Linked DNA regions of Arabidopsis thaliana. The protein of the gene in region 1 interacts with the protein of each later gene in a pairwise test. Each region holds a gene or a part of one and is shown on either strand. Other genes may lie near its edges.

Evidence for each region. The genes of interacting proteins can lie anywhere in the genome.
Region 2: the proteins of NGA4 (region 1) and ZFWD1 interact in a two-hybrid assay, tested with the Arabidopsis thaliana proteins (one large-scale study listed by BioGRID).

What each region holds. Positions count from the first base shown.
Region 1 is NC_003075.7:635,526-643,045, reverse strand, and holds NGA4 (AP2/B3-like transcriptional factor family protein), read right to left. Parts: upstream 3,800-7,520; 5' UTR 3,648-3,799; intron 3,445-3,647; 5' UTR 3,256-3,444; coding exon 2,254-3,255; 3' UTR 2,070-2,253; downstream 1-2,069. Other genes in the region: ARV2 (Arv1-like protein), read right to left, coding at 1-103, 196-291. UniProt on the Arabidopsis thaliana protein: Regulates lateral organ growth. Functionally redundant with NGA1, NGA2 and NGA3.
Region 2 is NC_003075.7:13,004,867-13,013,749, reverse strand, and holds ZFWD1 (zinc finger WD40 repeat protein 1), read left to right. Parts: upstream 1-4,131; 5' UTR 4,132-4,215; exon of another isoform or gene 4,216-4,316; 5' UTR 4,317-4,368; coding exon 4,369-4,803; intron 4,804-4,903; coding exon 4,904-4,999; intron 5,000-5,169; coding exon 5,170-5,259; intron 5,260-5,394; coding exon 5,395-5,496; intron 5,497-5,695; coding exon 5,696-5,842; intron 5,843-5,961; coding exon 5,962-6,081; intron 6,082-6,168; coding exon 6,169-6,228; intron 6,229-6,318; coding exon 6,319-6,416; intron 6,417-6,498; coding exon 6,499-6,643; 3' UTR 6,644-7,060; downstream 7,061-8,883. Other genes in the region: ABCB28 (non-intrinsic ABC protein 8), read left to right, coding at 1-228, 405-592, 694-717, 805-906, 1,101-1,191, 1,308-1,408, 1,515-1,565, 1,673-1,801 and 8 more; NUDT10 (nudix hydrolase homolog 10), read left to right, coding at 7,979-8,149, 8,244-8,309, 8,606-8,743, 8,880-8,883.

The DNA of each region.
Region 1 (7,520 bases):
AACACAAAAGCATAAAAATTGAAACTTGAAAATAGAGAGACATATAGATATAGACCAATAGCTCACACTCGACATATTCGTCTGCTACTTCTTCGCAATTCTCCTACCAAAAATTGAACATCAAAAAAAGCTTTAAACTTTGGGGAGATTACAAGTAGAGATTAAGAACCCTAATTAGTTTTGGTAAAAGCTTACGCATTTCATGAGACGAAAATTTCCAGGAGAGTATTGTATGAACAAAGATTTAACCTTGTGCCCACACTCTACACACGTCTTCTTCTCTCTCGCCATCTCTCTGTGTCTGTGACTGTTGTCTCTCTCCTTCTCGATCGGATCCTTTATTCGGGTTATAACTTGGGCCATAATGGGCCTTTATTTGAACCTTCTTCTGGGCCTCTATTGACTATCGTTGTAATTAATACAAGAAATTGCATTCAGATTATAATATTTTGGGAACTTTAATCCAAGTCACTGTGACTTTAAAAATGAAATTAGGAATTCGTAAGTTTGATGGTATTACATTAGTTTAGTCTATTAGGTTTCAGCTTTGTTTTTGTTGTTTTTGGCTTAATTTTAACTAAAACTCAAAGATAATGCAGATAATGAAATCAAAACTAGAGTTCAAATTTTCAATTTTTGTTGTATTGAATAAATATTCTCACCAATCTTTACTTCAATAAAAATATATTTATTTAATAACACTAGGAAGAAACTCGACTGTTACATCAAGGTGAAAAAGAAGAACAATGGAAACCAAACAAGAGTAAATCAAATCTTAATTAACCAACCAAAAACGGAAGTAGCATATGCTTGACTAGTTGATATAGACGTTTAGTGATGATGGTGTCTGAAAGAGTCTAACCACCTTGTGAGACATTCTAAAGGTGACAACTTTAGAACATTGAGTGTTGGTCCGACCACGACTTGGAGCTTAATCCCACCTGGCTTTGAGCTAATGAATAATGGATTCATGGTTTGGTGAGCTTGATGAGATCGTGGCGTGTCTTGTGCACGGCTATTGGAGAATTCGGGTCACAGTATTAGAATTCAAGGTCACCGCTGATCTAGTAGACATAGTTGAATTCATTGTTGTATTCGAAAAGGAGACGGTCTCCAACGTGGAACTGTTTCTCTTTACTCCAGTTGTAATAGATATCACTATCGTAAACGCTCCAGCTTTTGGAGTCACTAACCTTGTAGATATTTTGGATATCTATTTTTCGTTATGATGGAACAATATATATCTCTTAAATATGAAGTTGTTTTCAAATTTAGGTGTTATTTTTTCTTTTCTTTATTTAAATGCAGTTTCTCTTCTTTACCTAGAAAACACAGTTAGCAACAAAAAATCCAATAGAAATTAATTATTGGATTCTATATATGACAAACTAATTATTTCAATTTCGTTTAAATATGGCACATCCAATAGAAATAAAAATCCAAACAAGTCACGTACGGATGTACGGACGAACGGTTGTGAGCTATGAACAAAACAAGAAACAAACGAAAGTAAATGAAAATAAATAGTAGAAATTTTGTTTTTGGGATAAAGTAAAAAATGAAAGAACATATCATACCTTTCATATTTCTTTTTTCAAAATTATCATTATAAACTGAAATTGTCCTTCCATAGCTTCTCTTTTTTGTTCTCTGTCCATAACCTACAAATCTCTTTAAACCAACCCAAGACAATAGTAACCAAACAAACTAAAATTGGACCATTGGTAGGGAAAGAGAGAGCGACACTTTTGAAACTGCCCATTAGCTTAGAATGTACCATGAAACTTTGTCAGCTTAGCTACAGATAGGCACAGAGAGTACAATTCATAAAATTTTATAAGCTTTTTTCTCCTTCCCAAGAGTATACATCTCAAACTAGAACCAAAACAAAGTTAGGATACAGAGATGAACACTTTTGATTTATGGATCGTTGTAAGCATTTAATTTGACAATATGAGTAACTATAGTTAAAAACTCAAGATTATATGAAAATTAAATGATTATTTATATTATTTATAAGCTTAATTTAACATTGAAAGATGGGGGTTTTCTATTCAACATGGTAATTAGGGCTCAAGGATCAACATGTTGAAACAAAAACTCTTAATTAAACCAATATATAGATATAAGCCCGGTTAATTTCCCACTACATATTCCCCAATTGCCAAATGATCTAATGAGTTGAAAGTTGGAACTAACTCTTAAAAGAAAATGGTGAATAAATTACTCCTTAGTTCTTATTTTATTCTATCTTCAAAGCTCTAAAGATTTCCCTTTCCTCTTATATTCTTCATCATCACTTAGCTGCATAGCCGAAGAAGACGATGCCATTTCGCCACGTGGCGACCTCCAAAATGATTGATCATCGTCTCTGATCACAACCGGAGACGAGGAAGAGTACCCTGCTACTCCCATTTCGCCACGTGTATCCCCTGAAGATGAAGACTCTTCCACGTCAACCCCAAACAGCCTCAGCTTCTTCGTCGTCGACGGCTGAGGAGGCGCCGACGGAGGTACCCTCCCCGCTGGAAAAACTGGAACCGAGTCATAAACCAACGGCTCAGATCGACCAAGATTCCACTGATGATGTTGATCCAACGGTGATCCTGCGTAGTAACGCACTCCATTACCATTAACAACTCTACCATAACCATACCCTAAATATTCCCGTTCTTGAAATTGGTTCTGATAAAACGGTGGAAAACTCCGGTATGGCATGGAATATTCCGGCGTCACCGGATAAAACCTAGCCGTTGGATATGTCGGAGACCCGAAAACGAAGTTATGATTGTTAATGTTGTGTACGAAGTTTATCTCGGCTCTAGGCCTCCAATCGATGAACATTATTTTCCGTCGTCTCTCCGGTTGTGCGTTATCGTCAGGGATGTAGCCACGGTAGAAAGAGACGGTGTCTCCGGCGAAGAGTTTCTTCTCCTTGACGAAACGGCTCCATCCTTTGGTCATCACGTAGCTTTGGCTACTGTTCCAATACGAGTAACGAAACCTCCACATCTTGCCGTTTTTGTCTTGGAAATCCAACACTGTGCCGTTTTGATTGTCCTCTAAAGGGAAGAAGTTCTCTGCATGTTGCTTTGGAATCACGAGCCGGTTTAGTTTACCGACGTCACTTGGTGTCAACACTTTGTCGAACATGTGCTCTCTCCTCTCCGAGCTGTAGAAGTAATTGGTGTGGTCGGAACTGCTAGCTCTGATCTCGGCGAGTTCTTGGTCAAGATTCATTGTTGAGATATTCATCAAAAGTATCAAGCTGTTTATATATGGGGTCTTGAGAAGATTGATGACCCAATTTCAAGATCTTTCAAAAGTATCCAACTTATAGGTTCTTGAAAAGAAGATGGACCAATTCAAGATCTTTCAAAAAGTATTCAACTTTATTTTTATGGATCTGAATGAGTGATTCTTGACAAGATCCAATACAAAATCCTTCAACATACATGAAATAATTTTATTAGAAATCAAATAAAAATCATCACCCCAATACTAAGGAAAAAAAGTAATACTTCAATCAAATAATTAAAAGTAAATGGAAGATGAAGTGAAGAACAAGAAGAAGAAAAAAAGCTATAACCAAAAAAACAAAAAGTGAAAAAGAAAACCCTAAATCCAGAAGAAGAAGACAGACGTACTCTTTCACTCTTTGTGTTTGCTTCTTCTTCTGATCTTTTCGTTGACTCCAAAAGAGAAATAAATGAAAATGAAATCAATGGTTTGGAGTTAAAAAAAAAAAAGGTTCTCTCTCTATCTTTCTCTCTAGATGACTTTAAGGGGTGAAGAAATATAGTGGCTTGAGAGAGATTTCCTCGATGATGGAGATGAAGATCAAATATTAGAGAAGAGTAAAGGGGCCCATGAATGGTGTGGTTCGGGTCATGTGAGAGCTTCTTGTCCTTTTCAATTAGCTATAGACTTGGGGTAACTCTAGCTATTTATATAGATATACAAATATATACATACATGTATTGTGTCAATCTTTTGTGAGACTATTTCCTTTTATTTTGATATCTGTATTTTTATTTTCATCTTTATTCATACCAGATCTTTTGTATTTATTATTTTCTGTTTGTTAGTTTCTTCTAATTAGTTCTTTACTTATTTTTAGCTAATTATATTAAATCATCATATATTATAACTAATTTGTGTATACCGAAGATAGAAAACCACACAAAAGTACAACATGAAGATTTATATTAACTATAACTAGATATGGCTCCACACATATGCTTACACGTGTTATTTCTGTATCAAAAAATGTAAAAAGACATGACCAAATTAAGAAAATAGGTTACATGATAGGAAGTTATATTAAATTATATTAGACCATGAAAAAATGTTTGTCAGTTTCTTCTATCTAGTTATTTTTAGCTAATTATATTAAATCATCATATATTATAACTAATCTGTGTATACCAAAGATAGGAAACCACACAAAAGTACAATATGAAGATTTAAATTAACTATAACTAGATACGGCTCCACACATATGCTTACAAGTGGAACTAGCTAATTTTAGTATCTATATATGTATATAAAAAATGTAAAAAGACCATGAACAAATTAAAAAAATAGATTACAAGATTGACACTAGACCAAATAAATAACTTTTTAATCTATACATGTAAGAAAATCATTAAAAAAAAATAATATTAGGTTTCTAGATAGACATTAGACCAGCTATATTATTAGTAAAGAAAATTATTAAATTAATCTATAATATAATATTAATCTGAAAGTTATGGAAATATTACTTTTAATAAATTTAAAATTTAAAATATTTTTTCTCTATTTTAAAAATATAAACACTAAAACATATTCATTTTATGTAAAATTATAATGAGACACTGTAAATTCTAATGAATATCTTAGTTTTTTTAGGTTTTTCCTAAGAATGCTGAAAAAAATAAAAATTCATTTAAACTTTTTAGAAATGGTCTTATAAGAAGGTTTAAGAATTTCTTATAAGACCAATTAGTAATTTCTTATAAGACCATTTCTGAAAGTTTAAGAATTTTACTTTGGTCTTTTGGATTTTTATTTATAAGAATTTATTTACTTTGGTATTTACCATTGATTTAATTCTTAAACATTTTCACAATGCTTTCTTAATACCAAAATAAAACTCTTAAACGTTTTCACCTGAAATTGTTAAATCAATGGGAGAAAAGGTTCGAAACATTTCTACAATGTTTCTTAAAACAAAATAAAGGTATTTTGTAAATTTTTATAACTGTGATAATTTTAAATTATAAATCTTAATTATTCAAGATTTTTTCAATTACTTACTAGTAAATATTTTTCAGGGGATAACCACATTTGTTGTCTAGGCGATAAGCAATAAAATCTTCTAGATATTTTAAATATAATATTTATTTGTTTTTGGTAATTGGTTTAGTATCTCCAATTTTAACAACTGGATATCAATCTCTCTCTTTTTTTTTTTTGAAACCACACCAAGTGGATTTCAATCTAATATCTCAATTAAAACTATATCTGTATACTTGTCTTAATTTGTCAAAATGTAAACACGTGTTAACTTCTTACAGATTTTATTTCATCATCTTAATTAGTTAACTCATATGGTTATGAAATAATGTATTCTTCTGACCCTTTTTTTTTGTTAAATCTTCTGACATTTTCCGTAATTAGATTTCACCTGTCAGAACTTAGCAAATCACATGGATTATCATTTATGTAAGAAAATCATAACAAATTTTGTCCAATTTGTCTGATTATGATTTTTACAAAACTCAAGTGGAAAGTAGCTCTGGTTTTCTATGTGTGTCCATGTTTTGTGGTACCCAACATTATATGCATCAACATCAAATAACAATAACGCATTTTGAATTATATATACAAGTCAATCCTTTTGTCCAAAAAAAAATATATACAAGTCAATCCATGTATGACTTTATGATTTTAAGAAATCTAGGAATGCATATGTATTTGTTGTCAATTTAACTTTCGGGTATTAGCTTTTGTTAACATGTTATAATAGAATACTTTTTCTTTGTTTGCATGTAAATTATTTCACTATGTGGTGTTTTTCTGTGTCCGACCGTGTTGCAATATAAATTACGGTAGCACACGTTATTATTATTATTTTTTTTTTGGACAAAATTTAAATTCAAATAACCACTAAACCGGGTCCAGTACAATCGTTTTAAGAGAACACTTAGCAATCTCATCAGCTTCGCCATTGTGTTTCCGAGAGATGAAAGAAAAACTAGATTGCAGAAAAGTAGAAGATAAACTCAGGATATCGTGTAGAATCCCGTGGAGTTCCAATGGAGGATCCCCCAAATTGATTGCGTTGATCAACTGCTTGGAATCGGACGCTATTACAATGTTTTGGATACCCAAAGTCGATGCATGGCAGAGAGCTTCGTGGATGGCGAGAGCTTCCGCTAAAAGAGGTGATCGAACATTCCTTCTTGAATTAGATCCAATCCTACTTGTTTCAGTGATGGTGGGATTGAAAATCCATCCTAAACCAACCAATTTATGTTCTTTGTTCCAGGCAGCGTCGGTTTGGCAGATACTAGTGTTGTTTGAGATTGAAATGATTTTCCCTAGGGTTTGCTGCAGAGGTCGGATATGGGTTGTATTCTGAGCTAAAAGCCACTCTCGTGCTAGACTGATTGCTCGAGCCAGAGTTTCAGAGGGGGAGCTGAGGCGATCCTTGAAGATTAAGTGGTTCCTAGAAAGCCAGATCGACCAGAGAATCCACGGTAGGAGAGGTCCCGTTCCTACGCCAATTGGTGGGAGGCAAACGCTCAGATTAACTTTCTTAATTAGATCCCTAAAGGACACAGTGGTATTGGGATCCAAGGGCTGTTTAAAAGGCGCGTTTTGCCAGATTTCTGTAGCAAAACGACAGGTGAAGAACAGGTGGAAAGATGACTCCTCCTCTCCGCAGAAAGGGCATCTCGCTTCTTCATTGATCTGTCTAAGGCGCAGGTTTTCTCCGACTGGTAAGGATCCTCTCATAGCTTTCCACATGAAAAATTTCATCTTTGGTGAAGTGTTAATTTTCCAAATTTCTTTGGTCCACTTGAAATCAGTCACCGGAGACACATGTTGGGGACTTAATGGAATTGAACTTATGCTTTCATAGTAGCCGGAGCGTGCTGAGTATGCCCCATTCTTTGCAGGGAGCCACGCATAAGAGTCCTCTGCTCCAAGCTTACTTAGATGGATCTCAAGGATTTCTATTTCAAATTCTGGGATGGTTTGCTAAATTAGACCTCTGTCCCACTCAAGTGTTGTAGGAGAAATGAGCTGCGATACTGTCCACTTGTGTGATGATGCAGGAGGAGGGCCCATAGGGGTGATAGGAGATTGTAGGGATAGCCACGGTTCTTGCCACAGAGAGGTTTGTTTGCCACACCCAATGACTTTACCAAGCTTCCGTTTTAGTAGATCTCTACCAATACATATGCTTCTCCATCCATGTGAAATGGTCGCAGGTGGTTTACAATCTAAGAATGGCGTAGAATGGCAGT
Region 2 (8,883 bases), about 12 Mb from region 1:
GAGCAAAATCCGATGGATTGGCTCGGGCCTATGTTACCGGAGCGCCGCCTATCGTGGAAGAACCAGACCCAAAGATTGAAGAATCCAAATCTGAGGCTGAATCGAAGGATTTAATTAGTTGGGGGCTTCTGTGGAGCTTGATGAGCAAGCACAAGCTCAGGCTCAGTGTTTGCTTATTGACTCTCCTTGGATGCAGTACTTGCACTCTCTCTATGCCTGTTTTTTCTGGTAATCGGTTCTTCAATCCACTCTCCCACCATTAGCAAATTGTAACTGTACTCTTTTTTTCTCTTTGGGTTTGATGTAGTTTAAGTTTGGGTATGATGATTTAGCTTGTCATCTGTGTTTCTCTTTATCTTGGTGAAGCTGTTTTATAATGGTAAGTGTTATTGTTTTGAGTAAAGGTAGATTCTTTGAAGTACTGATTGGGGTGAGACCGGAGCCTTTGTGGCGGCTGCTGAGCAAAATTGCTGTTTTGTACTCGTTGGAACCCATCTTTACTATTGCTTTTGTGACCAACATGACTGCTATCTGGGAAAACGTTATGGCAATATTAAGAGCTCAGATTTTCAGAAGGGTTTTGATCCAGAAGGTATGTTTTGTTTAGTATGATCAAAGTTCGCTTAAGCTATATTGTTGGCTGTATTGAAATATCATTGATGGGTTTCTTTTTTTTGTCTTTTATATATTCAGGCAGAGTTCTTCGACAAATACAAGGTCTGTTCCTTTTATTCTTGGTTTGCTCAGGTTTGAGACATTTTGGCACAAACCTTCCTTATGTTAGATTGAGTTCATTTGTTTTAGGTTGGAGAGCTAACGGGGCTACTCACGTCTGATCTTGGTGCTCTGAATAGCATTGTGAATGATAACATCTCACGAGATCGTGGATTTAGGGCATTTACAGAGGCAAGCCATTTCTTTACTATGCAAATGTGAGATTTTTGTGTTTGTACATACATTTTTCATAATGAATACAGATTTAATCTTAGCCTGGTGTTGGTGTCTGCTGTTATTTTTGGAGTTCTATAAATGACAAAGACTATCCTGTTGCATCTCAAGAATGCCCAGTTCTCATGGCTTATGCGTTATCCCTTTTGTAGGTTTTTGGAACAATATGTATCCTATTTACTCTATCTCCTCAACTTGCACCTGTACTTGGTCTATTGATGCTAGCTGTGTCAGTTCTAGTTGGTAAATTCTCTATGTCTTTTTCATTCTCCTAAACTTTTTATTTTTGGTAATTACTTTGGTCATCTTTGCTTACTTTGCTTACCTCTACATCTACTCCCTCGGTCAAATCTCAAAAGCTGTGTACAAGAGATCGACTGTTCCTGTTTATAAATCGCATGGATTAGCTCAAGCAACAATGTCTGATTGTGTATCAGAAACGTTCTCTGCAATCCGAACTGTAAGTTCTTGACTTCATCGTATTTGTATCTTTTAGGGCAGATTAAATTATCTGAAGAAACTTTGATTTACCCTTGAAGACTCAAGTAATTTGTATCTCTTTATAGGTAAGATCATTCAGCGGCGAAAAACGTCAGATGTCTATCTTCGGTAGTCAGGTCATATTTCAGACTTCTTACTAGCTAAAACTGATTTCTTCTAAACAATTGTTCTTTTTTCTAACTGATCCATAATCTATTAATCTAAACTTTTGTTTGATGTACAGATTCTTGCTTACAAGCTTAGCGGCTTAAAGCTTGGTACTTTCAAGTCTATAAATGAATCTATAACAAGAGTTGCTGTTTATATTTCTCTGTTGGCTCTTTACTGTCTTGGGGGAAGCAAGGTGAAGACGGTAAGATATACCTGCCTGTAAGACTTGTTGATTGCCATTATGATCATTCAAGTTGAAATTATGCTTCTTGCCCCCTAAAACATAAAGAGAATCGTGTTTTTATGAATTTCTATTGCAGAAGATAGTGTTACTCGTTGTTTATACTTTCTGGAACAAATGACTGGATGTTTCTAGCTAGAATCAAGTTACTACCTTCTGAATTTTTAAATAAAAAAAAACTAAGAATCAAATTTCTCTGTATCTCTCTTTTGTGTAGTTTCTTATGTTGTTACATTTTAGCTCTTTTGCACTTTATTTTTCTTGGTTCTTATTCTTAAAATTTCTCCAACCCAGGGTGAGCTCGCTGTTGGAACAGTTGTTTCGTTCATTGGATACACATTCACTCTAACATTTGCTGTAAGTACCTCTGTCTACACATCATTTACTGTCACACATATGCTATACATGTAATTTAGTTTACCATAACCAGTGATTCTGTTATCCAGGTCCAAGGGCTTGTAAACACGTTTGGAGATCTACGTGGGACTTTTGCTGCTATTGACAGGATCAATTCCATTTTAAACGCGGTGGACATAGATGAGGCTCTTGCCTACGGGTTAGAAAGAGATATACATACAAAGAAAGTCCAAGATGAAAACCTTAAATTGTTCTTGTCTGCTGGCCCAAATGTGAATATCCGTCACCTCGATAAGTACTACATGTCAAATCTGAAATCAACTAACAATCTACGTACCCTAACATGGGCTGGAGATGTCTGTCTTGATGGTAAAATCAGACCAAGAAAAACTCTCTTCATCATATCTTACTACAGCTTTTTACCTTTTTCATATCTGTTTTTCTTTTCCATGTTCTATTTTGTCTAGTGTAGATGTGCATTTTGCTTATCCTCTACGACCCGACGTGAAAGTTCTTGATGGGCTGAGTTTGACGTTGAATTCTGGTACTGTAACTGCTCTTGTTGGCTCTAGTGGTGCGGGAAAAAGTACTATTGTACAGTTATTGGCACGCTTCTATGAGGTTAATCTACCCTCCTCTTCCAATTTGAAGTTTAATATCTGTTGAGACTATGTTTACTGCCACTTTTACATTATGCTGATATGTTGAATTTTCAATTCTTGCAGCCAACACAAGGACGTATTACTGTGGGTGGAGAAGATGTGAGGATGTTTGACAAGAGTGAATGGGCTAAGGTTGTCTCAATTGTGAATCAGGTGTGTATACGTAACATCTATGTGTCAGGCATGGTTGGATCATTTCTTCTCTTCTTCTTCAAAGGTTATCTTTCTGTGTGATTCAGGAACCGGTTCTCTTTTCTCTCTCCGTGGCCGAGAATATTGCATATGGTCTCCCCAATGAGCATGTGTCCAAGGACGACATCATTAAGGCAGCCAAAGCTGCCAACGCTCATGATTTTATAATCTCACTTCCTCAGGTTCAGATTCGTGTGCCTTATACTTTCCTGTTTCTTCCTGGCAATTGCACATCAATTCTTGTGAGCAATACCGGTGTTTGTTTATAGGGATACGATACACTGGTTGGTGAAAGAGGAGGCTTGCTTAGCGGAGGACAACGACAGGTATAGAAACATTATGAGCTACATGTTTTTGATTTCTGATAGACTTTTGCAACTGCTTTGATGTGCTTGTTTATCAATGTGTTAGAGAGTTGCCATAGCCCGATCTCTGCTGAAGAATGCCCCCATCTTGATTCTCGATGAGGTGAGAGACTCTTATTTTAATAATCTCGCCTTTGATGAACTGTCTGCTTTGCTAGAACCTTTACCTAAGTAATAGCATATCAAACAAGAACACAAACAGTTAGTATGAGACATCTCTGCTTAGTCTCTCTCTTGCTTACTTTGTTGCAGGCCACAAGTGCGCTGGATGCAGTGAGCGAGCGGTTAGTCCAGAGTGCGTTGAACCGTCTGATGAAAGACAGGACAACATTAGTCATCGCTCACAGACTGAGCACAGTTCAGAGCGCGAATCAGATCGCTGTGTGCTCTGATGGGAAGATCATAGAGCTTGGAACACATTCCGAATTGGTAGCGCAAAAGGGATCATATGCTTCACTTGTTGGCACTCAGAGACTAGCCTTTGAGTAATTTACCTTAACTCGGTGTAATTTGTAACAAATTACTACAAAATTACAAATGGTAGAATCTGGTTTTATATACAACTTTGATTAACAATAGTTTATAGACAGATCAAATTTTCAAAAATTTATAGTAAAACAAGAAGAAATTAAACGACCATTGATGTGAAGCTGACGTGGAGGGATCTTCACTTATGTTTTCTTCAAGAATGATCCGAAGATTAAAAAAAACCGAAGCCGCTTGACATCTTCTTCCAATTTTGATTTATCAAAGAAAACTCCTTTGTGAGAGATTATTTATGTACTCTTGATTCAGAGAGGTAAATTCTGTTAGGGGTTCGTTCGATTTTCGCGCTTGTTTTTGTTTACTTATGATCGGATTTGGTATTTTGAACAGTAATGATCCATTCGACGTTTACAGGATAATCCAATTCCGAGTTTTCTGAGTCGTAATTTAGAGAGAATCCAATTCGATGGATTTAGATATGAACGGAGGAAACAAGAGAGTCTTTCAAAGACTGGGCGGTGGCTCTAATCGGCCGACGACGGACTCAAATCAGAAGGTTTGTTTCCACTGGCGAGCTGGCCGGTGCAATCGTTACCCATGCCCTTACCTGCATAGAGAATTGCCGGGTCCGGGTTCGGGTCCAGTAGCAGCTTCTTCAAATAAAAGGGTCGCTGATGAATCTGGGTTTGCGGGTCCGAGTCACCGGAGAGGGCCTGGGTTCAGCGGGACTGCTAATAACTGGGGAAGATTTGGTGGGAACAGAACGGTGACCAAGACGGAGAAACTTTGCAAATTCTGGGTTGATGGAAATTGCCCTTATGGTGATAAATGTAGATACTTGCATTGCTGGAGCAAAGGAGATAGTTTCTCCTTGTTGACGCAGCTTGACGGGCATCAGAAGGTATCTTGTTGTTGAGTGTCCTTATAAGTGATGCTGGATTCTTGTGCTTGTTGGCGATGTTGATAGTTTTTTTTTTTTTTGGTTCTGATTTCTCGAGTAGGTTGTTACTGGGATTGCTCTGCCTTCAGGATCAGATAAGCTTTACACGGCGAGTAAAGATGAAACTGTGCGAATATGGGATTGTGCTTCTGGACAGGTTTTGATTTGCCTCTGATAATTATTTCTTTTATTGTTGTTTGATTGAGTTTCGCTCCATATTTAGTTTAGCTATTGAGTTTAAAACATCATTTTGATATGGCTGGTTGTTTGGACTACTTTATAGGCGTACTTCTCATTCTAGTATTTGTTTTTTTTTCTACGATGTAGTGTACAGGTGTACTCAATCTTGGTGGGGAAGTTGGCTGCATCATTAGTGAAGGTCCCTGGCTATTGGTTGGCATGCCAAATCTTGTTAAGGTAAGTTCAGAGTATGATTCATTTGCATGGTTCCTTGACTATTAAAACTCTTCATCTATACTGAGAATCACTTTTGTTGTCCTATGTGTTGAGGTTTATTGTTGTTACGGATATACATTTTTGAATTATATGCAGGCGTGGAATATCCAAAACAATGCAGACCTGAGCCTCAATGGACCTGTTGGCCAAGTATATTCATTGGTTGTGGGTACTGATCTATTGTTCGCTGGCACACAAGTAAATACTTTTACTGACTGTAAACTTCTTTTCTAAGGCCTTGGAGAGTTGGAGTAGAATTTTGCTTCAGCGTCATGTATATACTTAAAATCATTTTTTGTCTTGAATATCATTTCAAGTTTGCGTCATCTCTTGGAAAAACCACCTCTGCTATAGAAATCTACAGTTCTATTGGATTTTGATAAAAATTCTTCTGCAGGATGGCTCTATTTTGGTTTGGAGATACAATAGCACCACTAGCTGTTTTGATCCAGCTGCATCACTATTGGGTCACACGCTTGCAGTTGTCTCTTTATATGTTGGGGCAAACAGACTCTATTCTGGTGCCATGGACAATTCTATAAAAGTAAGTAGTGTGGCACTACTTAAAAAGTAGTCACCAGTGCCTATTATACCTAAATTAAAATCCCCTTTCTGTTTTTTTTTTGTTTAAGCTCATAGGCCTACCTTATCTGTTTTTAATAGGTTTGGAGCCTGGATAATCTGCAGTGTATTCAAACGCTTACAGAGCATACATCAGTTGTTATGTCTCTCATTTGCTGGGATCAGTTTCTTCTGTCATGTTCATTGGACAATACCGTCAAGGTTTGGTTCTAACTCGCTAGATAATTGGCTCGATTCCTGAATATGACATTACCCCCTGTTTTTTTTTTTTTTTTTTTTCCGTTGTAGATATGGGCTGCTACTGAAGGTGGAAACTTAGAAGTGACATATACTCACAAAGAAGAATACGTACAGTTCCTAGCATTTTTGTTGAAATATTACCCTTTCTCTTGATTCATTCTATATGTAACTAAGTTCTCAATGGCTATTTGGATATAGGGCGTGCTAGCTCTCTGTGGCGTCCATGATGCAGAAGCCAAGCCAGTATTGCTATGTTCGTGCAATGACAATTCGTTGCACCTCTATGATTTGCCATCGTAAGTCTTTCCAATGCTGTTTGTTTCATGAGTATACAATTATGTTTTACTTTCAAAAGCTTAGATTCTGTTCTTATGTAAGGTTTACGGAAAGGGGCAAAATTTTAGCTAAGCAAGAGATTCGGTCAATCCAGATAGGTCCCGGGGGCATATTTTTCACCGGTGATGGAAGTGGTCAAGTTAAAGTATGGAAGTGGTCTACTGAGTCGACCCCTATTTTGTCTTGAGGCGCAAAACAGAGCCCTAGTTCTTCACCTTTGTCAAATCTCTTCTTCTCGGAGTGTCAATAGTTCTTGTTTGTTTTGTTGTTCGAGAGATTGTAAGTAGCATCAAGGCATCTGTCTCTCTGGCTCCATTAAGTCTCTGCAGTTAAGACAGACGGCCGCAGAGAAGATTATGGACCACTGATTGTATCTACTATTATATTGATTTGATGTCAGAGCAGAGACATGGTCTGATCAGTTCCAGAGACGCGTATGGATCTGCCCACGTTGGTTGCAGACTTACTGTTCTTACTTCTTAGGCATAAGAAACTTTTGTCCCTCTTTGGTCAACATTCTTGTCATGTAATTTATGGCATAGATCTTTGTAGTCATGTTTCAGTGTAATAAAAGAGATGATTTATCATAAAGAGAATTTCTTACTGTATTCAAATTATGGTCAGGGTCGAATGTTGAAGAGAATGTCCACAATGATGGTATTAACAGAGTTTCCGAAGCATCTTATTAACCTTGATAGCATCACTTCCACGACCACGAGCACTGGGATTTTCCAACTTCCTCTAGAGAGAAACTGAGCCTGTGGGTATTGAGCGGTTTCACATCGATCTTCTGGCTTGCCACAGCAGTACGAGGCACAGATGCCAAATGTTCTTGTAGCTGCTAGGTACAGAGCCGAACGGGCATTGAAAGGTTGGCCTTTTCATTTGTGTGACCAAAGATTGTTGAATGTTTAACACTTTTACTCAAGATGAGACATGGGGATAGTTTACATTATTTATATAGTTCTGCTGGAAAATTAACAACAAGCCCGTCTAGCTCAGTTGGTAGAGCGCAAGGCTCTTAACCTTCTGGTCGTGGGTTCGAGCCCCACGGTGGGCGTGAAATTACATTTTATTTTTGTACCATGATGTCAGTAAGCCCATTCTCTAATGAATATGAAACTAAACGGAGTTATTTTGTCAAAATGGAAATTAGAGCATGCGACATGATCAAAAGTATTTCTAATTAGGGTTTGTGTTACGTATGGATTTCTTATTTTTGCGTTAAAGGTGACGTGTGGGACTACGTCACTCCACCGAAGGGCCTCGACGGGTTAATGTGAAGGCCATTATGAATTTATGATGGTTATGATTTGTGACCCACCCCACTAATGTACATTATTAGTAAATATCTAAATGTTTATATAACTACTTGACTTCTGCCATTGCCGCCTCGTGATTGTTCTCCTTTTGAAATCATTTGCTTCGTTGAAACCACACTCTCCTTTTACTTTATCTTCTCCTTTTCGTTGAATACTTGAAATCTTCCAATCTTCCTCCAAATTTTTTCAGAGTTTGAAGCATGTCAGACCAAGAGGCTCCTCTGCGTAATGGAGTAGAACACAAGATTTTCGAAGTACTTCCGTTTGTGGATGATGATTACGGTGGAGTCATCGTGGAGATGAAAACTCCTATGGATACTAAGAATTTCGTTGCAGCGCTTAGAGATTCATTCGAGCAGTGGCGCTTACAGGTTTGTGTTGGTGCGAGATCACATGCATCTCTGTCTTCTTGAGTGAGCGAGCGGTTGATTCTGTAAAACCTTTTTGTTTGTTTTTTGTTGTCAGGGTAAAAAGGGAGTCTGGTTGAACTTGCCTCTCTCACACGTAAACCTCGTGGAACCCGCGGTTAAGGTCACATATCAGATTAAATTTGATTCCTAAGTCTTGCATATTAACGTTACTTAATTATCATCTTTTGTTAATTAGATGTCATTGTCTTATCTATTGCTAATATTAGTATTAAGATGAATCTCTTTTGTACCATGGACATATTTTAGTTTTGTTTTTAAAAAGAAAATCTTTTTGGGTTTGACATATTTAGGTTAATGGGATGTATAGTTGATATACCAAGTTATAGCTGCATATCCCCATGTATTATTACATTGAGGGATGAACAAACTGGTCCCATAAATAATTTGTGCATGCAGGAAGGTTTCCGGTATCACCATGCTGAGCCAACTTACCTGATGCTAGTTTATTGGATTCCGGAAGCCGAGAGTACTATTCCTTTGAATGCTTCCCATCGTGTTCGTGTAGGTGCTGTTGTCTTGAACCATAACAAAGAGGTACTTAGGAGATAGGACACCATTATATTGTTTATTTTTGTATTTCCAAGTCATAATATTCTAATCATCCTAGAATGGTAAGGAAAATGTACTCCATATTCCAGCATTTGCATCTTAAAATTACAACTAGAGGCAGATTC